2 linked regions of the Callithrix jacchus genome follow. The protein of the gene in region 1 purifies or fractionates together with the protein of each later gene. This does not show direct contact. Links are inferred from orthologs where the notes say so. Each region holds a gene or a part of one and is shown on either strand. Other genes may lie near its edges.

What was found. The genes of interacting proteins can lie anywhere in the genome.
Region 2: the proteins of WWP2 (region 1) and POLR2D purify together in Homo sapiens (affinity purification with mass spectrometry; 3 studies listed by BioGRID and IntAct, with this or other methods). This does not show direct contact. The link is inferred for Callithrix jacchus from reciprocal best matches to the Homo sapiens genes WWP2 and POLR2D.

Annotation. Positions count from the first base shown.
Region 1 is NC_133521.1:27,341,369-27,352,222, forward strand, and holds the start of WWP2 (NEDD4-like E3 ubiquitin-protein ligase WWP2), read left to right. Parts: upstream 1-3,741; 5' UTR 3,742-3,815; intron 3,816-3,956; exon of another isoform or gene 3,957-4,109; intron 4,110-10,854. UniProt on the Homo sapiens protein: E3 ubiquitin-protein ligase which accepts ubiquitin from an E2 ubiquitin-conjugating enzyme in the form of a thioester and then directly transfers the ubiquitin to targeted substrates.
Region 2 is NC_133507.1:36,567,484-36,577,905, reverse strand, and holds the end of POLR2D (DNA-directed RNA polymerase II subunit RPB4), read right to left. Parts: intron 10,055-10,422; coding exon 9,874-10,054; intron 7,951-9,873; coding exon 7,855-7,950; intron 5,463-7,854; coding exon 5,384-5,462; 3' UTR 4,615-5,383; downstream 1-4,614. UniProt on the Homo sapiens protein: Core component of RNA polymerase II (Pol II), a DNA-dependent RNA polymerase which synthesizes mRNA precursors and many functional non-coding RNAs using the four ribonucleoside triphosphates as substrates.

The DNA.
Region 1 (10,854 bases):
CCAAGTTCAATTCTTTTTTATCAACAAAGACCAGTGTGGGCAATATAGCAAGATCCTGTCTCAGCAAAAAATTTAAGAAATTAGCTGAGTATGGTGGCTTGTGTCTGTAGGTCCAGCTGCTTGGGAGGCTGAGGCAAGAGGATCATTTAAGCCCAGAAGTTCGAGGCTACAGTGAGCTATGATCCCACTACTGCACAGTGAGACTCTGTCTCCAATAAATAAATACCATAAAAATAAAATTTAAAAATTTAGGCCAGGCATGGTTACTCATGCCTGTAATTCCAGCATTTTGGGAGGCCCAGGCAAGAAGATTGCTTGAGCCCAGGAGTTTGAGACCAGCCTGAATAACAGGGGAAACCTGGCCTCTATAAAAAAAATTAGCTGAGCATAGTAGGGGCACCTGTGGTGTCCTACTTGGAGGCTGAGGTGGGAGGACTGCTTAAGCTAGGAGGCCAAGGATGCTTGAGCCCAGAGGTCATGATTGTGCCACTGCACTCCAGCTTAGGCGACAGAGTGAGACACGGCCTCAAAAAACAAAAAACAAGGGAGGGATCACGAGGTCAGGAGTTCGAGACCATCTTGGCTAATATGGTGAAACCCTATCTCCACTAAAAACACAAAAAATTAGCTGGACTTGGTGGTACGTGCCTGTAGTTCTTGCTACTCAGGAGGCTGAGGCAGGAGAATCTTTGAACCTGGGAGGTGGAGGTTGCAGTGAGCCAAGATGCGCCATTGTATTCCAGCCGGGGCAACAGAATAAGACTCGGTCTCAAAACAAAAACAAACAAAACTCCTATACTGTAGCTCTACAGCATTGAGTTTGGTGCTAAATAAATGTTAATGACATCTATTAATTGAGCAAATTATTTAAAGAGGCCTCAACTGGACCAGGTACTACTTCAGGAGCTGGGATATAGTTCCTGTCTTCATAATTTCTTGTAGTGGGAAACACACGTGTATATATATATCTGTGTGCCTGTGAGTGTGTGTGTGTGTGTGTGTGTGTGTGTGTGTGTATGTCTTTGTTTTTCTTTTTTGAAACAGGGTCTTGCTCTATGGCCCAAGCTGGAGTGCAGTGGCATGATCTGGGCTCACTGCAACCTCTACCTCCAGGGCTCAGGTGGTCCTCCCACCCCAGCCTCCTGAGTAGCTGGGAAGACAGGTGTGCACCACCATGGCTAGCTAACTTATTTTTTGTATTTTTAGTAGAAATAGGGTCTTGCTATGTTGCACAGGCTTGTCTCCAACTCCCGAGCTCAAGCAATCCTCCTGCCTCAGCCTCCCAAAGTGGAGTTGTAATTTTAGATAGGGTGTGAAAAACTTCACTGAGAGAGACAGTTGAAAAAACATCTGAAAGAGATGGGGGTTCAAGCCATCTGACTACGTGAAGAAAGAGCTTTCCAGGCAGAGGGACAAGCAATTCCGAAGGCCCTGAGGCTGAAGGAGATACTGAGGGGTAGAGCAGCTGGAGGCGAGAGAAATAATGGGGAAGTGCGAGAGGGATCAGCTGGGCCTTATAGGTCATGGTAAACATTTTAGCTTTTACTCTTTTTTTTTTTTTTTTTTCTTTTTTGAGACAGAGTCTCACTCTGTCATCGAGGCTGGAGTGCAGTGCGCAATCTTGGCTCACTGTAACGTCTGCCTCCCAGGTTCAAGTGAGTCTCATGCCTCAGCCTCCGGATTAGCTGGGACTGCAGGAGTGTGCCAACACGTCCAGCTAATATTTGTATTTTTTTGTAGAGATGCAGTTTCATCATATTGCCCAGGCTGATCTCAAGCCCCTGGCAAGTGATCTCAGCCCTCCAAAGTTCTGGGATTACAGGTGTGAGCCTCCACGTCTGGCCAGCCAATTGAATTTGTATGCATGATAGGATCCATCCAAATTCGAAGACCCAAAAATAACAGAATAATTAGTACAAGTCTTTGAGGCAATTAGGTGATTAGTATTAATTTTAATCAATGGGATTAAGCCAAGACTTCATTCAACTTGTCCAGAACATCAGTCAAGATTGTCAATTTAAAATGTTCTTGGAGACCGGTTGCGGTGGCTCACGTCTGTAATCCCAGCACTTTGGGAGGCTGAGGTGGGTGGATCACAAGGTTAGGAGTTTGAGACCAGCCTAGCCACCATGGTGAAAATCCCATCTCTACTAAAAATACAAAAATTAGCTGGGCATGGTGGCAGGCACCTGTAGTCCTAGCTACTTGGGAGGCTGAGGCAGGAGAATTGCTTGAACTTGAGAGGCAGAGGTTGCAGTGAGCCAAGATTGAGCCACTGCACTCCAGCGTGGGCTACAAGAGTGAAACTCCGTTTCAAATAAATAAATAAAATGTTCTTGGTCAGGCACAGCAGCATTCGCCTGTAGTCTCAGCTACTTGGGAAGCTGAAGCAAGAGGATTGCTTGAGGCTAGGAGTTCAAGCCCAGCCGAAGCAACCTTAAAAAAAATATTTTTTGCTGAGCACGGTGGCCCAAGCCTGTAATCCCAGCACTTTGGGAGGCCGAGGCAGGTGGATCACGAGGTCAAGAGATCGAGACCATCCTGGTCAACATGGTGAAACCGCGTCTCTACTAAAAATACAAAAAAAAATTATCTGGGCATGGTGGTGCATGCCTGTAATCCCAGCTACTCAGGAGGCTGAGGTAGGAGAATTGCCTGAACCCAGGAGGCGGAGGTTGCCATGAGCCAAGATCGTGCCATTGCACTCCAGCCTGGGTAACAAGAGCGAAACTCCGTCTCAAAAAAAAAAAAAACTCTGCCAGGCACAGTGGTTCATGCCTGTAATCTCAGTACTTTGGGAGGTCATGGTGGGTGGATAACTTTAGGTCAGGAGTTCGAGACCAGACTGGCCAACATAAGGAAACCCTGTCTCTACTAAAAATGCAAAAAGCGGCCAGGTGTGGTGCGACACGGCTGTACTTGGGAGGCTGAGGCAGGAGAATTGCATGAATCGGGGAGGCGGAGTTTGCAGTGAGCCAAGATGGCACCACTGCACTCCAGCCTGGGTGACAGAACAAGACTCTGTCTCAAGAAAAATAAAAAGAAAAAATATATATCATCTATATGTCTGTCTAGATCATAATTTGTGCCCTGTAGATTAAGGGAATGCGACTGGATTAGTGTGGAGGGGCGTTTTGTGGACCCAGGCAGGAGTTGGGAAGCATTTGTACTTTTGCTTTATGTCACAAGGACAGATGCCCCACAAAGGGCGAGATGTTTGTGTTCCTGGATCTTAGAACAGTGCCTGGAATATAACAGGTGTAGGGTTGCCAGCAAATAAAAAGGCAGATACTCAATTAAATTTAATCTTCAGATAATCAACAAATACTTTTTTAGTATAAGTATGTCCCATTCTGTATTTGGAACACACATATTAAACTGCTGTTTATCTGAAATTCAAATTTAAGTGGGTGTCCTTTACTTTATCTGGAACCCTACCAAAGAGCTCAATAAATATTTGCTGACTTAATAGACTGACGGTGTCGTTTCACCTGTAAAATGGGGCTAGTACCTGTCCCTGCCTCCATAAGGCTGATGGGCAGAATAAATGGCACTCAGTGAGCCCTCAATTTATTTGATTGCTCTGGGACTATCCGGCGAGCAGAAAGCCCTTCTACTTTCAAATACACAAACGATAAAAAGACCTCTAGGAGGCCAGAGGTTCCCAGGCTAGGCCTAGGTTACCCGCACCTGCGAGCCCGGCCAACCTCTTCCGGGTCAGGTGACCGCGCGCGGTCACGTGACCCGGCCCGAGTGCGGGCGGTGGAAGGCGGAAGTGGGAGAGGAGTTGGGTGCCGCTTCTGTGGCCACGGCAGGTAACTAGCGCCGGCGCGGGGGACGCGGCTGGCGGGCTGGCGGCGTGGGGCGGGCCGGGGGCGGCGGGCGGCGCGGAGTGGGCCGGGGGCGGCGCGGCCCGGGCGCCGGGGGGCGGCGGCTTCCTGTGGGAGGGGCCTGGCGTGGCGGTTCCGGCCTCCGAGGAGGGGTGTCCCGGCTCCCGCCCGAGCGGGGTGGGCGCGACGCGGGTAGCGCGGGGGCCGCTCGGAGATGGGCGCCCAGGCAGCCAAGTGTGCAGCTGGAGCGAGTCCTCCCTGAAGGGGAGAGGAGCCTAGGTGCCCAGGCATGGGGAGGAGCGATGTTTATGGAGGGATCGCGACCAGGGGAAGGGCGACTTGGGACTGAGCTGGAAGGGATGCCTGAGAATGGGTTTATGGCGTGGAGCGAGAGGGAGAAATCAGGAAGAAGATGCTCCCTGGACCCCCTCTGAGAGCCTCTCTCTTCCTTCCTTTTTGGAAATGATTGCTACCCGAGACTTTGATGACGGTCCCATTCAGTTTTTAAACTTCAGGAGGGATCACAGAATCTTGGTCGTCTTGCTTTCTTCGCACCCACTTACTCCTGCGTGGGTAGAGTTTCCGCTTCTTGGAAACCTAGCCCTTCGGATCATTTTTCTTTGAGATTTAATTGATCGGGTCATCATCGAGGTTTTAATAACAACAACAAAAGAATTAAAGAAGTGTGGGCACTTTGCTCTGCCCATAAAATGGCTTTTAGCCTACGCTGTTGACCTAGCCCAGCGTTACCTCAGCAACATAGTGACTGCTGAAATCTGGGACAGAGGAGTGTCTACCTAGACTGCTTTATGACTTTCCTCTTTCTTCCGTTTAAATTATTCAGTTTCACTTAGCATGTGACTGCTTATCTTGACGAACAGTAATTAGGCAGGGTGACTGAGAGGTCTGTGTTATGGTCCTTAGAACTGTGACCTGGATCATGATTTTGAGATTACTTGTGTTAATGCTGTTCATGCTCCTGTTTCTCATGTTTACTAAAATTTGCAGGAGCTGAAGGAGTTTCGTGAGTACAGTGTAACTAGAACGAATGTTCAGGCTGGACATTCACACAGCCAGCATCGTTTTGGGTTACAAGTAGGAAAAAGTACTTTGCTAATATATTATGGGTTCAAGTTTTTGGAGTTATTTGACAAACATTTAAAAATTAGTTTTTGTAGCATCTCCTGTGAGTGAGGTTGGGAAGGTATTATTCTCATTTCACAGGAAACAAACAGACTTAAGAGAGACGACTTAATTTTTTTTTTTTTTTTTCGAGACGGAGTCTCACTGTCACCATGTTGGAGTGCAGTGGCGCGATCTCAGGCTCACTGCAACCTCCCCCCCCCACCCCCCGGGTTCAAGCGATTGTCCTGACGACTTGATTTTTTAAAACAATGTATTGTTCTTTCTTGTTTGCTGGTCTCTTCTTCCTGCTAGACTGCAAATCCCTCAACGGCAGGTTTCATATTTTATTTGGCTACCAGCCTAGTGCCTTGCATGTTATGGGCACTTGATAAAAAATGTTTGGTGAATAAATGCATTTCTAAAGGTCACACTGGTGTAAGTGGTGACAAGGGGTTTGAACCCAAGTCTTCTACTCTTTGTCTTGTCAGACAGATTTGTGATTATGTGTGTCATTGGTCCATATGAAAAGCGGCTTGAGAGAAAGGCTTGGTTTAGCTTCTTAGTCCCTTTGACTTCATGATTACTTTCCCATATACAAAGAACATATACGAACATCTCACTTAACCTTCCCTGTGAAATTTGGATGGTCAGTATTGTCCCTATACCTCAGATGAAGAAACTGAGGCTTAATGAAGTCCTTACTGTAGACTGAAGAGCTAGTAAATGAGTAGGGACTCAAGCCTAGGCCGTTCTAGTCCCTAGAACAATTCTTTTTCATTTATTGACACAATAGAAAATTTTATTTTTATTTTGAGACAGGGTTTCACTCTTGCCCAGGCTGGAGTGCAGTGGCACGATCACGGCTCACTGTAACCTTGACCTACCTGAGCTCGGATGATCCTCCCACATCAGTCTTCCAAATAGCTGGGACTACCGGTGGGTGCCACCTCACCCGGCTAATTTTTGTATTTTTTGTAGAGAGAGGGGTTTTGCCATATTGCCCAGGCTGTTCTCAAACTCCTGGGCTCAAGCGATCTGCCCACCTCCGCCTCTTAAAGTATTGTGATTACAGGTGTAAGCCACCGTGCCCAGATGAAAGTTTTATTTTTGCATAATTTTTCAAGTGTAAAAAGTGTGATGTTTTAAGAAAAAGTAGTATAGATCACATAGAAAATGTGAATGTAGGATGTGAGTAAATGAAGTTTAGAAAACCCTGTGCTCTACCATAGCTGCCTCTTCCTGTGAAAACCTTCTTTCATCCAGTGAATATAAGTACCTACTCTGTCTATGCCAGGCTTTGCTGTAGAGTCCAGTGTGGTAAACACTAGCCACATGGGGCTGTTGAGCACTGGAGCTATGCTGGGAGCATAAAATACATTCTGGATTTTAAAGACTTAGCATGAAGAAAAAGTAAAATGTCTCATTGATACTTCTATTTTATTTATTATTTTTTTAGAGGCATGGTTTCACCATGTTGGTCAGGCTGGTCTCGAACTCCTGACCTCAGGTGATCCGCCCACCTTGGCCTCCCAAAGTGCTGGGATTACAGGCGTGAGCTACCGTGCCCGGCTGATACTTTTATAGTAAATTATCGTATAATGTATAAACATGTATAACATTTTAGATTTATTGGGTTAAATACATCGTAATTATAAATAGTTGGTCAGGCATGGTGGCTCACGCCTATAATTCCAGCACTTTGGGAAGCCAAAGTGGATGGATTGCTTGAGTCTAGGAATTTGGGACTAGCCTCGGCAACATGGCGGAAGCCTGTCTCTACAAAAAAATACAACTATTAGCCAGGTGCAGGCTACTCAGGAGGCTGAGGCGGGAGGATCACCCAAGCCTGGGGAGGGGGGTGGATGGAGGCTGCAGTGAGTTGTGATCATGCCACTGCTCTCCAGCCTCAGTGACAGAGTAAGACCCTGTCTCAAAAAAGAAAAAGAGAAAATGTTTCACCTTTTTGCCTTTTTTCCCCACAGCCTTGACTTGAAACCCAGCACTTTTTTCTTTTTAAAATGTGTTTCCTAGAAAAATAAAAAATTATGTATGTAGGCCATGCGTGGTGGTTCACGCCTAAAATCCCAGCACTTTGGGAGGCTGAAGCGGGTGGATCACCAGGTCAAGAGATCGAGACCATCCTGGTCAACAAGGTGAAACCCCGTCTCTACTAAAAATACAAAAATTAGCTGGGCACAGTGGCGCGTGCCTGTAATCCCAGCTACTCAGGAGGCTGAGGCAGGAGAATTGCTTGAACCCAGGAGGCGGAGGTTGCAGTGAACTGAGATCATGCCATTGCACTCCAGTCTGTCCAGTCTGGGTAACAACAGTGAAACTCCGTCTCAAAAAAAAAAAAAAATATATGTATGTGGCTTGCACTTGTGGCTCCTATCTTATTTCTGTTGGACAAACCTGTTCTGAATGCCGGGCATATGGCAGTATGAGAAAGGCAAGGCTCTCCGCTCTTGTGGACCTTAAATTGTATTAGAGAAGGGCACATTGATAACTAAGTAGAATATATATTTTGTTGTAAGCAAGCAGGGAAGAGAGATATGGGGTTGCAGTTTAAATAGGATTCTGACCAGGTGCCATGGCTCATGTGTATAATCCCAGCAGTTTTGGAGGCTGAGGTGGGTGGATCACTTGAGGTCAGGAATTCAAGAACAGCCTGACCAACATGGTGAAACCCCATTTCTACTTAAAATACAAAAATTTAGCTGGGTTTGGTGGCACATGCCTGTAATTCGAGGTACTCGGGAGGTTGGGACACGAGAATCGCTTGAATTCGGGAGGCAGAGGTTGCAGTGAGATTGCACCGCTATAGCCTGGGTGACAAAGTGAGACTCTGTCTTGCTTTTGTAGAGATGGGGGTCGGGGGGGGTCTCACTGTTGCTCAGGCTGGTCTTGAACACCTGGCCTCAAGCCATCCTGCCTTGGCCTCCCAAAGTGCTGAGATTACAGGCGTGAACCATTGCACCTGGATAAGTCTCTGAACTCTAAATACCATCCACATGCTGACAGCTTCCATATGTGTCTGTCTAGCCTCAGCCTGTCTCCAGACTTCTAGATCTAATTGCCACAATATCTTCAACTTGATTCCTATCAGGCATTTTGTAATCAACATCACCAAAATTGAGCCCCATCCCTGCTCCTCATGCAGCCTTCCCCATCTCAGTTAATGACAACTCCATTCCTCCAGCTGTTCAAGCCAAAGACCTTGGCGTCACCCATGACTCCTCTCTTCCTCTCACACGCCACATCCAACCCAACTCGTCCACAAAGCCTACTGACTGTACTTCAGAGTACACCCCAGATGCATCTTTCCTCTGGATGATGGCAGCAGCCTCCTAACTTGTCTCCCTGCTTCCACTCTGGCTGATCTTCACTTTCTCCACACTGGACCCAGAGCGAGTCTGTTAAAAGGCAGGATGGATCCTGTCCAGTCCACTGCTCAACTCAAACCCTCCAATTGTCCCAGCTTAACCTGAATGAAAAATCAATACTGTACAATGGCCTGCAAGGCCTCCTGTGACCCGATCGCTCCTCCCACACCCACTACCACTCTGACCTCCTCTCTCCACTCCTGCTCACTCACTCCCTTCCAGGCACACTGGCCTCCTGGCTGGTCCCAAAACCTGCCAGGGGTACTCCTTCTTTGGGGCTTTTGAACTCTGCCAGGACCCCTTCACCCCCATTCAGCCACACGGCCCCTTCCTTTCCTTACCTCCTCAGATCTTTACTCAGCTGTCACCTTCAGAGAGAGGCTTTTCTAGGGATCCTATTTTATTTTATTTTTGGAGTCTTGTTCTGTTGGCCAGCCTGGAGTGCAGTGACATGATCTCGGCTCACTGCAACCTTTGGCTCTCAGGTTCAAGTGACTCTCCTGCCTCAGCGTCCCAAGTAGCTGGGGTTATAGGCATCTGCCACCACTTCCAACTACTTTTTGTATTTTTAGTGCAGACGGGGTTTCAACACATTGGCCAGGCTGGTCTCAGACTCCCAACCTCAAGTGATCCACCTTTCTTGGCCTCCCAAAGTGCTGGAATAGTTTTTTTTTTTTTTTTTTAAATCTTTTTGACAACCACAAGCTAATGAGTTTCTTTTTTCTTAAGGAGGCTTTTCTTCCAACTATGCATCTTTATAGCACCTCTAAAATCAATTTAAGTGCCAATTTCTGGATAGAGGCCTCTAGGATGGATGGGTAATGGGCTTTTTATGTTTAAAATATGTATTGTTTTTTCCAAACATGTATTGAATTCATGTTGGTTGTCAGGCATCCCACCATTTTAGATTTTTTTTTTTTGAGACAGAGTTTCGCTCTTGTTTACCCAGGCTGGAGTGCAATGGCGCAATCTCGGCTCACCGCAACCTCCGCCTCCTGGGTTCAGGCAATTCTCCTGCCTCAGCCTCCTGAGTAGCTGGGATTACAGGCACGCGCCACCATGCCCAGCTAATTTTTTTGTATTTTTAGTAGAGACGGGGTTTCACCATGTTGATCAGGATGGTCTCAATCTCTTGACCTCGTGATCCACCTGCCTCGGCCTCCCAAAGTGCTGGGATAACAGGCGTGAGCCACCACGCCCGGCCCATTTTAGATGTTTAACCTTGTTGAGGTGAAGTGACCCTTACGAGGTCAGGTAGCTAAGAAATGAAAGAGCTGGCCATTTGAATCTTGGTCTTCAGAGTCCAGATCTGGTCCTTCTACCACTTATCATTAGTGAGTGGCTGTATGAACATAAACTCCCACTGGAATCTAATCAGTGTGAGTTGCTTTTGAGCAACTTAGAGTCCCTTAGGACTATTATGTGTCTCAGGCAGAAAAGGAGTTTACCAGGTAAAGAAAGGCAGATTTATTTTTTTAATTAAATTTAAATTTTCTTTTAAAGACAAGATTTCACCATATTGATCAGGCTTGTCTCGAACTTCTGACCTCAGATGATCTGACCACTTCAGCCTCCCAAAGTGCTGGGATTACAGGTGTGAACCACTGAGCCCAGCAGGCAGATTTATTAAAGTATGAAAACATGTTGCAAGGGCAGCACAGCAGAGAAGGGGCTGTCTGCAAAGAGGCAGGAGATGGAGGGAAGACTTATAGGCTCGCGCTGGAGGGGGCTGTGTGTTGACCGATGTGTCTGAGGGTTGTTTGTGATTAGTTATTTCTCAGAACAGCTGTTTATGTTCCCCCGCTCCTCCCCACCTCTTCCTCTTTGTTGCTTACTTATCTTATTAGGAGACATGGAATCTGAATTTGTTGTTGTTGTTTTGTTTTTGTATTTGAGAGTTTCACTGTCACCCAGGCTGGAGTACAGTGGCATAATTATGGCTCACTGCAGCCTCAATCGTTTGAGCTCAAGTGATCCTCCCATCTTAGCCTTCCAAATAGCTGAGACTATAGGTGTGTGCCATCACGCCTAGCTCATTTTTAAATTTTTTGTAGAGATGGTGTCCCACTGTGTGACTAAGACTGGTCTTGAACTCCAGGCTCAAGTGATCCTCCTGCCTCAGCCTCCCAAAGTGCTTGGGATTATAGGTGTGAGCCATCACACCCGACTAGGGCTCTGGAATTTCTGAGAGATAAGAGCAAAAGAGAAGATATTTTTTCCTTAAGTTCTAACCAAAATCTTTTTAGAAGGTTGCAGTTCTCTGTTTTTCATCCCACAATTTATAGCAAATATTCAGTGATTTAAATCATGACTACTAATAATAGCTATTAGGAAAATACCAGCTGGGCGTGGTGGCTCATGGCCTGTAATCCCAGCAATTTTGGAGGCTGAGGTGGGTGGATTACCTGAGGTCAGGAATTTGAGACCAGCCTGGCAGACATAGTGAAGCCCTATCTCTACTAAAAATACAAAAACTTATCCGGGCGTGGTGGCAGACGCCTATAATCTCAGCTACT
Region 2 (10,422 bases), on another chromosome or scaffold:
ATGTTCCGAAGTGCTATAGTGCCCATTATAGAGCGAAGTATATTTTCGAAACACATACTTATTTCAGAATCAAGTATTATGTTGACTGCTTTCAAATGCTTCCTAGCAATGAAATACAGATAAAGCAAATAGCGTATCTTTTACATCAAGGTGGTAAACACATAGGTATCAATGTACTAGTCCTTCTAGGTTTTCTGTAAGTATAAACTTTTTCGTAAAAAAAAAAAAAACAAACTTGAAATGGCCAGGCGCGGTGGCTTATGCCTGTAATCCAAGCACTTTGGGAGGCCAAGGTGGGCAGATCACCTGACGTCGGGAGTTCAAGACCAGCCTGACCAACATGGAGAAACCCCACCTCTACTAAAAATACAAAATTAGCCAGATGTGGGGGCACATGCCTGTAATCCCAGCTACTCAAGAGGCTGAGGCAGGAGAATTGCTTGAACCTGGGAGGTGGAGGTTGCAGTGAGCCGAAATTGTGCCACTGAACTCCAGCCTGGGCAACAAGAGTGAAACTCTGCCTAAAAAAACAAAAAAACTCAAAAACCAAAAACTGAAATCTCACACCACTGGCATATTTACCACTTTTTATATATAAACCTAAAACACTAACAGTATCACTGAAGCAGCTTATTGATGCTCAGGTCCCATCTAGTAATGCTATTTGTCATGCCTCAGGTCTAATAAATTTTATTAAAACCAGAATGACTAGATGCTATGGTCTGAATGTGCACCCTCCCACCCAATTCATACACTGAACCCTTCACTGATGTGACAGTATTAAGAGGTGGAGTCTTCAGCCGGTGATTAAGTCATGAGAGAACATCCCTCATGAAGGGGATCAATGCCCTTATTAAGAGGCTTCAGGGCCAGGTGCAGTGGCTCACACCTGTAACCCCAGCATTTTGAGAGGCTGAGGCGTGGCATGGCAGGGGTGGTGGTGGTGGTGAGGGGGGAATCACAAGGTCAAGAGATCAAGACCATCCTGGCCAACATGGTGAAACTTCGTCTCTACTAAAAATACAAAAATTAGTTGGATGTGGTGTCTGTAGTCCCAGCTACTTGGGAAGCTGAGGCAGAATTGCTTGAACCCGAGGTGGAGGTGGCAGTGAGCTGAGATCGTGCCACTGCACTCCAGCCTGGCAACAGAGCGAGACTCTGTCTCAAAAATGAATAAATAAACAAATAAACTTTAAAAAATAAAAATAAGAGGCTTCAGGCCTGGCACAATGACTCATGCCTGTAATCTCAGCATTTGGGATGCAGAAACAGGTGGACTGCTTCAGGTCAGGAATTCAAGGCCAGCCTGGGCAACATGGTGAAACCCCATCTCTACAAGACACAATTAGCTAGGCATGGTTGCTTGCGCCTGTGGTTCCAGCTATTCAAGAGGCTGAGGTGGGAGGATCACTTGAGCCTGGGAGGTTGAGGCAGTGAACTTTGATCATGATGCCTGGACGACAGAGCAAGACCCTGTATCCAAAAAATTAAAAATAAAAAAACAGCTGCCTGGCCCTTCCATCCTTCTACCATAAGGCCACTGTTCATTCCCTACAGAAGACGCAGAAAAAAGGTACCATCTCAGACCAGAGAGCTGCCCTTGCCAGACACTGAACCTACCAGCATCTGGATCTTGCATTTGCCAGCCTCCACAACTGTGAGAAATAAATTCCTATTATTTATAGGTACCCAGTATCTAAGGTATTCTGTTACAGCAGCAGGAACAAACTAAGACCCTAAAACTTTCAAATTCATTTAGCTTTCTGGTGAAGTGAGGGTTTGACAACCCATCTTTTTGTTGTTTCATTATGTTCCCAAATTCTTTCCTGATTTTGCAAACATAATACAATGAGCCTAACAATGTTTCACAGATTGTGCAAGGTCTCCTGGTGGCTATTTTCAACAGCAATATGCTATTCAGCCCCGTAGAAAACAATTTTTGACTGTCTAACAGAATTGCTGACCAGGCTTTTAATCTGTAACAGCATGAGGTTGCTTTAGCCAAGTAATTCCCTAGCATGAGTCATTTTAAATCTGCTTTTAAACACCTTGATAACTACCACTGATTAGTGCCTAACTATGTGCTGGGGCATTACATACTTCTCGGGTGGCTCACAGAACCCCTGGCACATACGTGGAAATGCCAGTAAAGATGGTACTGTGCTCCTCAGTTGCCATCTAGCACATGCCTGGATCGTGACTCTGGGCTGCCTTCCAAGTCTCTTTCCATTCCACATTAGTGCCAATCAGCACATGTAAGTGCCTCAGGATCCAACTCTGCAGTACTCACTTCAGCAGTAGGCACACCCAAACTGGAACAATACGGAGAAGACAGCATGGCCACTGCCCAAGAATGACATGCAAATGTATCAAGCATTAAAAAATAAAAGTTAACTCTGCAGGTTCAAGGAGTAAGCAATTTCATTTATTTTCAACTGATACTATCAGTTGGTATGCTACCAAATTCTTGCACTGATTTCTATGAAGCAAGCTGACTTAGCTATCTGTCTATACTAGCTCATCTGCCTGAGATACTAAGAATAGTGAACATTTACTGGAACATACTGTAAGTCAGACACCTCTAGGCTCTTCATAATTTCCTCTTCATTCAACCTTCTCAAAATATCCATGGGGAGATACTATTATTATCCACATTTCTTAACTGAGAACACCAATGAGGCTCAAAGAAGTGAAGTTGCTTAAGGATAAAAAGATTATTTCCAGCCGTGCTCGGTGGCTCACGCCTGTAATCCCAGCACTTTGGGAGGCTGAGGTCGGTGGATCACGAGGTCAAGAGAGTGAGACCATCCTGGTCAACATGGTGAAACCCCGTCTCTACTAAAAATACAAAAAATTAGCTGGGCATGGTGGTGTGTGCCTGTAATCCCAGCTATTCCGGAGGCTGAGGCAGGAGAATTGCCTGAACCCAGCAGGCAGAGGTTGTGGTGAGTCAAGATCGCGCCATTGCACTCCAGCCTGGGTAACAAGAGCGAACTCCGCCACAAAAAAAAAAAAAAAAAAAATTATTTCCTTCAAACATTGATCAAGAATATTAATTATTTAGAAATGTCAGCTAGGCGCAGTGACTCATGCCTATAATCCCAGCACTTTGGGAAGCCGAGGTGGGTAGATCACCTGAGGTCAGGAGTTCGAGACGAACCCGGTCAACATGGCGAAACCCTGTCTCTCCTATAAATGCAAAAAATTAGTCATGTGTGGTCGCGGGCACCTATAATCCCAGCTACTTGGGGAGGCTGAGGCAGAGAACTGCTTGAACCTGGGAGGCAGAGGCTGCAGTGAGCCAAGATTGTGCCATCGTACTCCAGCCTGGGCAACAGACCCAGATTCTGTCTCAAAAGAGAAAAAAAGGAAAGAAATCAGTTTTCAGAAACTGTATTTATAAAAATGTTTTTATTTTTGCCTTATCTAGTAGCAAACATAAAACTATGCTGACTATAAAAGCCAACACTATTCTTTCTCCTTTTTCCTTGGACCCCAAGTTCATATACAGTCAAGCAAATGCCCCAAAGAAAAATCCCAGAATTCAAGAGGTGTCTTTCCTTCAGAAAAATCAAAGCTAGAATGTTTAGCTATTAAAGTGTTTCCCCCCAGACTGAGATCAAGTGACTTCATTGCAGTGGCTCAAGAGTAGCTGACTCCCTCCTTCCAAATCAGCCCATCATAGAACACCTATTGCTAAGTAGCAAGCCAGAGGCTTAGATTGGAGACTTCAAAGTCTTCAGAACTTCAAGCCTGGCCTATGAAGCAAAAATTTTTTTAAGTACAACTGCAATTTTATTTTTCTCCAAAGAATAGTTTTTCTTCAGTCCTTCAGAACTCCGCTCCTTACATGGGCTTTGGTGGGGGTCAGGGGCAGCACCTGCAGGTCTACATTGGTGGAGGTGTTTGGTCCTTGCGGGTTTCATGAGCTTGATTCCTGACTACCGGGCTATGAATGGCACAACTCACACAGTTGTGTAATCTCACATTCAGCCTATGAAGTACACAGGCGTCAAGGACGCCCGCTTCAGAAACATTGCTAATTGCTGCAGCCTCTACATGTCAAATGATATATTTCTTAAAAGCCTTGTCATTGGGCACACAATGGGCATAGTTCATGCAGCAAATAGGTTGGAGTGCACAGCGTACACCTGGCTGCAGCCCTCTTTGGCATGACCACTGTTTCTTCTTTTCTTTGTTATGTTTGAGGTACAGGCCCAAGAAAGATGAAGTAGAATCTTAATTTGAGGGTGACTAAATGAGTCCTTCAAGACCACTTGCCCCAAATCCACATTCTGCAAGACAGTTCAAGAAAAAAGGCAAAGTAGCCATCTCGCTCAAGGCTATGGGCTCCACAATACTTAGCACAGTTGTCCCCAAGTGTAAACACTTCCCATGGCATGCTTCTTCCCTGTCCCCTAGGTTAGGCACAATAATACCAGGGCATTCTGTCATGAACACTCTCATCTTTTAAGGTGGTGCACACCTGTGGCCCCAGCTATTTGGGAGGCTGAGGCAGGGGGTCAAGGCTGCAGTGAGCTGCGACTATACCACTGCACTCCTCTAGCCTGGGCAAGAGTTAAGACCCTAATTCCATTAAGACAAAAACAGGCATTTCAAACAATAACAGCGGTTTAATTATTCCTTTTGCATCTATGTAAAACAGGTCTTTCTCTATAAAGTCTACTATGCTCTGGTCTAGTTTCAAAAAGTATAAACATACTGAAATTAAAACGTGAAATATTGGCCGGGCGGTGGCTCAAGCCTGTAATCCCAGCACTTTGGGAGGCCAAGGCAGGCGGATCACAAGGTCAAGAGATCGAGACCATCCTGGCCAACATGGTGAAACCCCATCTTACTAAAAATACAAAAATTAGCTGGGTGTGGTGGCATGCACCTGTAGTCCCAGCTACTCGGGAGGCTGAGGCAAGAGAATTGCTTGAACCTGGAGGTGGAGGTTGCAGTGAGCCGAGATTGTGCCACTGCATTCCACCCTGGCACCCGGCGACAGAGTAAGACTCCGTCTCAAAAAAAAAAAAAAAAAAGGGAAATATTAAGAAAAGATGACGTGGAGGCCAAAAACCATGAATGAGGTAGTCAATAGTGTGGCTTATGTGACACACCCACCTCACACTTCCCAGAGGCACATTCAGGAAAGCCACTAGCAGCCACTGCACAAGGCTGCTCCAAGATTACCTGTCACCTGGACCTATGAGTTATTTGAAACAGCAACCTAACCCAATGCCAAGCTGGGCTATTTTCTCCAAAGGAATTCTCAACTGTCTTCTGCAGTAGAATTTCTGTGCAAGTCAGCCCCAGCCCCTGGGAAGGTGGTGGTACGCCTGGGGACATGGTTTCTCTGAGAAGCAGTGACATCTGGAGATTAATACTGAAAGCTGCGCTTCGTCTGGATATCGTCAAGAATCTGCTGCAGCTCCTCATCTTCAAACCGCCCCTCCAAGCTACAACAAGAAAACCGAAAGAATGAGTGACTTGGCAACTGGCAATTTCCTCACACTCTTCTTTGAGGCGTGATAATCTGCCTATATCTCTAACACCTTTACCTTTCATCTGTATTTCTTTTCCACTTTTCCTGAAAAAACATTACAAAATATTTCCAACATGTAAAAGATAAAAGCTATAAAAAATAAACCTTTACAGTTAGCCCCACTTGACTTAGAGTGTTTTTTTTTTGAGATGGAGTCTCGCTCTGTCACTCAAGCTGTAGTGCAATGGCGTGATCTCTGCTCACTGCAACCTCTGCCTCCCAGGTTCAGGCAATTCTTAAGAGTTATTTTATTTATTTATTTTTAAATTTTTATTTATTTTTTGAGAGGGAGTTTCACTCGTCCCCCAGCCTGGAATGCAGTGGCGTGATCTTGGCTCACCGAAACCTCCCCTTCTGGGTTCAAGTGATTTTCCTACCTCAGCCTATTGAGTAGCTGGGATTACAGAAAACCGCCACCACGCCCAGCTAATTTTTATGATTTTAGTAGAGACAGGGTTTTACCCTGTTGGCCAGGCTGGTATGAAAGTCCTGACCTCAGGTGATCTGCTCGCCTCAGCCTCCCAAAGTGCTAAGATGGCAGGCGTGAGCCACCCCGCCTGGCCAGAGTTCTTTAACAAGCAGGAAAAGTCGTTGGCTATGTATACTACCCTAGACCTATACCTTCCCTTCTCCCCCAGGAATAACCACAATTTATCATTGCCTTACATTTAAATTTTTACTTGCCACATATATATTTATATTTACTACACATTTATGGATATATAATATGCAGTAGCTTCAAACTTTATAAGAAATGGCATTGGCTGGGTGCGGTAGCTCACGCCTATAATCCTAGCACTTTGGGAGGCCGAGGTGGGTAGATCACAAGGTCAAGAGATCGAGACCATCCTGGTCAACAAGGTAAAACCCCGTTTCTACTAAAAATACAAAAATTAGCTGGGCATGCTGGTGCATGCCTGTAGTCGCAGCTACTCGGGAGGCTGAGGCAGGAGAATTGCCTGAACCCAGGAGGCAGAGGTTGCGGTGAGCCGAGATTGTGCCATTGCACTCCAGTCTGGGTAACTACAGCAAAACTCCGTCTCAAAAAAAAAAAGAAAAGAAAAGAAATGGCACTATACTGTATTTATCCTTCTGCAATTTTTTTTCCTCAAAATTCATTCTGGCATGTGTTGATATTATTCCATGTTGTTCTAGTGCATTTTTTTCACTGCTGTACAATAAACACTGTTATGACTATACAATGATTCATTTATGCATTTTCTTATTGATCAAGAGATTATCAAATTTCTGCTATCATTAACAATGCAGCATAAGGCTGGGCGCCATGGCTTATGCCTGTAATCCCAGCACTTCGAGAGGCCAAAACAGGCAGATCACCTGAGACCAAGAGTTTGAGATCAGCCCGGCCAACATGGCAAAACCCCATGTCTACTTAAAAAAAATGCAGCAATGAACACTGGAATATACATATCCTTGTAAACTTGTGTGAGTTACCTTTAGGATATGTACCCAGGCAGCTTGGCCAAGATGGTGAAACCCCCATCTCTACTAAAAATGCAAAAACTAGACAGGTGTGGTGGCAGGCACCTGTAATCCCAGTTACTCAGGAGACTGAGGCAGGAGAATCACTGGAACCCCGGAGGTAGAGGTTAAAGTGAGCTGAGATTGCACCACTGCACTCCAGCCTGGGTGACAGAGTGAGACTCTGTCTAAAAAAAAAAAAAGATACATACCCAGGAATGGATTTTTGGAACATGGAGTACATTCGTCTTTACTAGACATAGCCAAATTGCTCTCCAAAATGGTTGTTCTAATTAATGCTCCTACCATCAGTATACGGAAGTCCAGCTGTTCCTCATTTTTACTATCACTTGGTATCACTCTCACTGTTAAAACGGCACTTTAATTCAATATTGGCAATTATGTATGCAAATATAAAATGCTTATGCATTTTATTATTTTTTTTAATTTTTATTTTTTGAGACGGAGTTTCGCTGTTGTTACCCAGACTGGAGTACAATAGCATAATCTCAGCTCACCGCAACCTCCACCTTCTGGGTTCAAGCAATTCTCCTGCCTCAGCCTCCTGAGTAGATGGGACTACAGGTGCGCACCACCATGCCCAGCTAATTTTTGTATTTTTAGTAGAGACGGGATTTCACCTCCTTGACCAGGATGGTCTTGATCTCTTGACCTCGTGATCCACCCACCTCAGCCTCCCAAAGTGCTGGGATTATAGGCGTGAGCCACCACGCCCGAGAAAATGCATAAACATTTTAGATACACCAATTATATTTGCAGAAATTTATCCAGTATACAGAGAACTGATTACAACTGGTACTAACCTTGGGATTAAAGCCTTGGACTCCTCAGCAGTCTCTGGGCAAAGGTTGGCCAAACAGGCCAACTCAAACTTATGAAGCTTTTTCTGGAGTAGCAAGCTGATCAACAGGGGAAAAAAAAAATACCGAAACAAATTAAAACCAAATAAACAACAAAAATCAAATAATAATCAACAGGAAAAAAGGGATCAAATGTAGCTAGCATTTAAAAATAGCTAGACGGCTGGGTGTAGTGGCTCACGCCTATAATTCCAGCACTTTGAGAAGCCAAGGTGGGCGGATCACTTGAATGAGGAGTTCGAGACCAGCCTGAGCACCATGGCAATACCCCATCTCTACTAAAAATACAAAAATTAGCCGGGTGTGGTGATATGTGTCTGTAGTCCCAGCTACTTGGGAGGCTGAGGCATGAGAATCGCTTGAACCTGTGAGGCGGAGGTTGCAGCGAGCCGAGATTGCACCACTGCACTCCAATCTGGGTGATGAAGTAAGATTCTGTCTCAAAAATGTAAAAAGGTAGAGGAGGCTGGGCATAGTGGCTTGTGCCTGTAATCCTAGCAGTTTGGGAGGCCAAGATGGGAGGATCACTTGAGCCCAGGAGTTCAAGACCAGCCTGGGCAACATGGTCTCTAAAATAAATAAATACATACATAAAATAAAAATAGCTACAGGAGAAGTCTTGAAATGTTCCTAATACATAATCAATACCCTAAACACCCTAACATACTCATTGTACATTCTAAGTAACAAAGTATCACATGTACCTCATACCTATGTACAAATACTATTATTTAAAAAAATGTAGGCTGGGCGTGGTGGCTCACCTCTAATCCCAGTGCTTTGTTTTTTGGGTTTTTTTTTTTTAAATGGAGTCTCACTCTGTCACCCAGTCTGGAGTGCAATAGAGCAATCTCAGCTCCCTGCTACCTCTGCCTCCTGGGTTCAAGCAATTCTCCTGTTTCAGTCTCCTGAGTACCTGGGACTACAGGCATGTGCTATCATGCCCAGCTAAGTGATGTTTGTATTTTTAGTAGAGATGAAGTTTCACCATGTTGGTCAGGCTGGCCTCAAACTCCTGACCTCAAGTGCTCTGCCCGTCTTGGTCTCCCAAAGTGCTGGAATTACAGGTATGAGCCACTACATCCAGTTAATCCCAGAACTTTGGGAGGCTAAGGTGGGAAGATCAACTGAGGCCAGGAGCTTGAGACCAGCCTGGGCAAAATAGTAAGTCTCCCCATCTCTACAAAAAAAATAACAACAAAAAAACTTTTACCTACTAATAGTACCATTTAGATCACACATACTGGACTTATGTGACAGATTCACATTTGAGTCTGCTTCCAGACTAGAAGGCAGTGGCACAATCACAGCTCACTGCAGCCTCAACCTCCCAGGCTCGGATGGTCCTCCACTTCAGCCTCCCAAGTAACTAGGACCACAGGTACTTGCCACCACACCTGTATAATTTTGGTATTTTTTTATAGAGAGGAGTTTTACCATGTTGCCCATGTTTGTCTCTAACTCCTGGCCTCAACTGACTGGCCCACCTCAGCCCCACAAAGTGTGAATTGCAGGTGTAAGCCACCACACCTGGCTGAAATTTTGGTCTTAAAAGCAATTTTTAGATTTTTAAGACTTTTTTTTTGAGAGTTGCCCATGCTGGAGTGCAGTGGTACAATCTCAGCTCACTGTAACCTTGGCCTGCAGGTTCAAGCGATTCTCCCGCCTCAGTTTCCTGAGTAGGTGGGATTAATGGTGTGTACCACCACACCTAGCTAATTTTTTGTATTTTTAGCAGAGGTTTTTGTGATGTTGGCCAGGCTGGTCTTGAACACCTGTCCTCAAGTGACCTGCTGCCTCAGCCTCCCAAAGTGCTGGGATTATAGGTGTGAGCTACCATGCCCAGCCCAACATTATTTTACTTAAATTCACAGGTGACACCTGGGAAAGGGCAAGGGGATAGCATTCTACATGCAGCTGTCTAATGGTATGAATTAATAAAAATTTCCTTTAAGCACTCACCTACGAACACTGGCAATGGTCTCTCTATTTTTGAAACGACTGAAACGGGCTGTGTAGTTTAATGTTTTCATGAAGACTTCTGAGAGTTCTTGTTCATCCTCTGCGCTCTCATTCTGCTGCTTTCGATGTTCCAGAAGCATATGAACTTCTGAATTTAGAAGTGTCTCAGCTGTTTCAAACTCTATTTGTGAGAAGCATAAATGGCAGCTGAAAATACTCCTTCGAAAGTTTGTTTCTAAATGTTCATTTTGCATTTGAACATTTCTCTGCCCTGCAGAAATCCAGTGGTTTCCCACTCCACATTTTTTTTTAAACTTTATTTTTTTTTGAGATAGAGTCTCACTTTGTCACCCGGGCTGGAGTGTAGTAGCCTGAGATTGGCTCATTGCAACCTCTGCCTCCCAGGTTCAAGCAATTCTCCTCTCTCAGCCTCCTGAGTAGTTGGGATTACAAGTGTGTGCCACCACGCTCAGCTAATTTTTTTTTTTAGTAGGACAGGGTTTCATCATGTTACTCAGGCTGGTCTCGAACCCCTGACATTGTGATCCA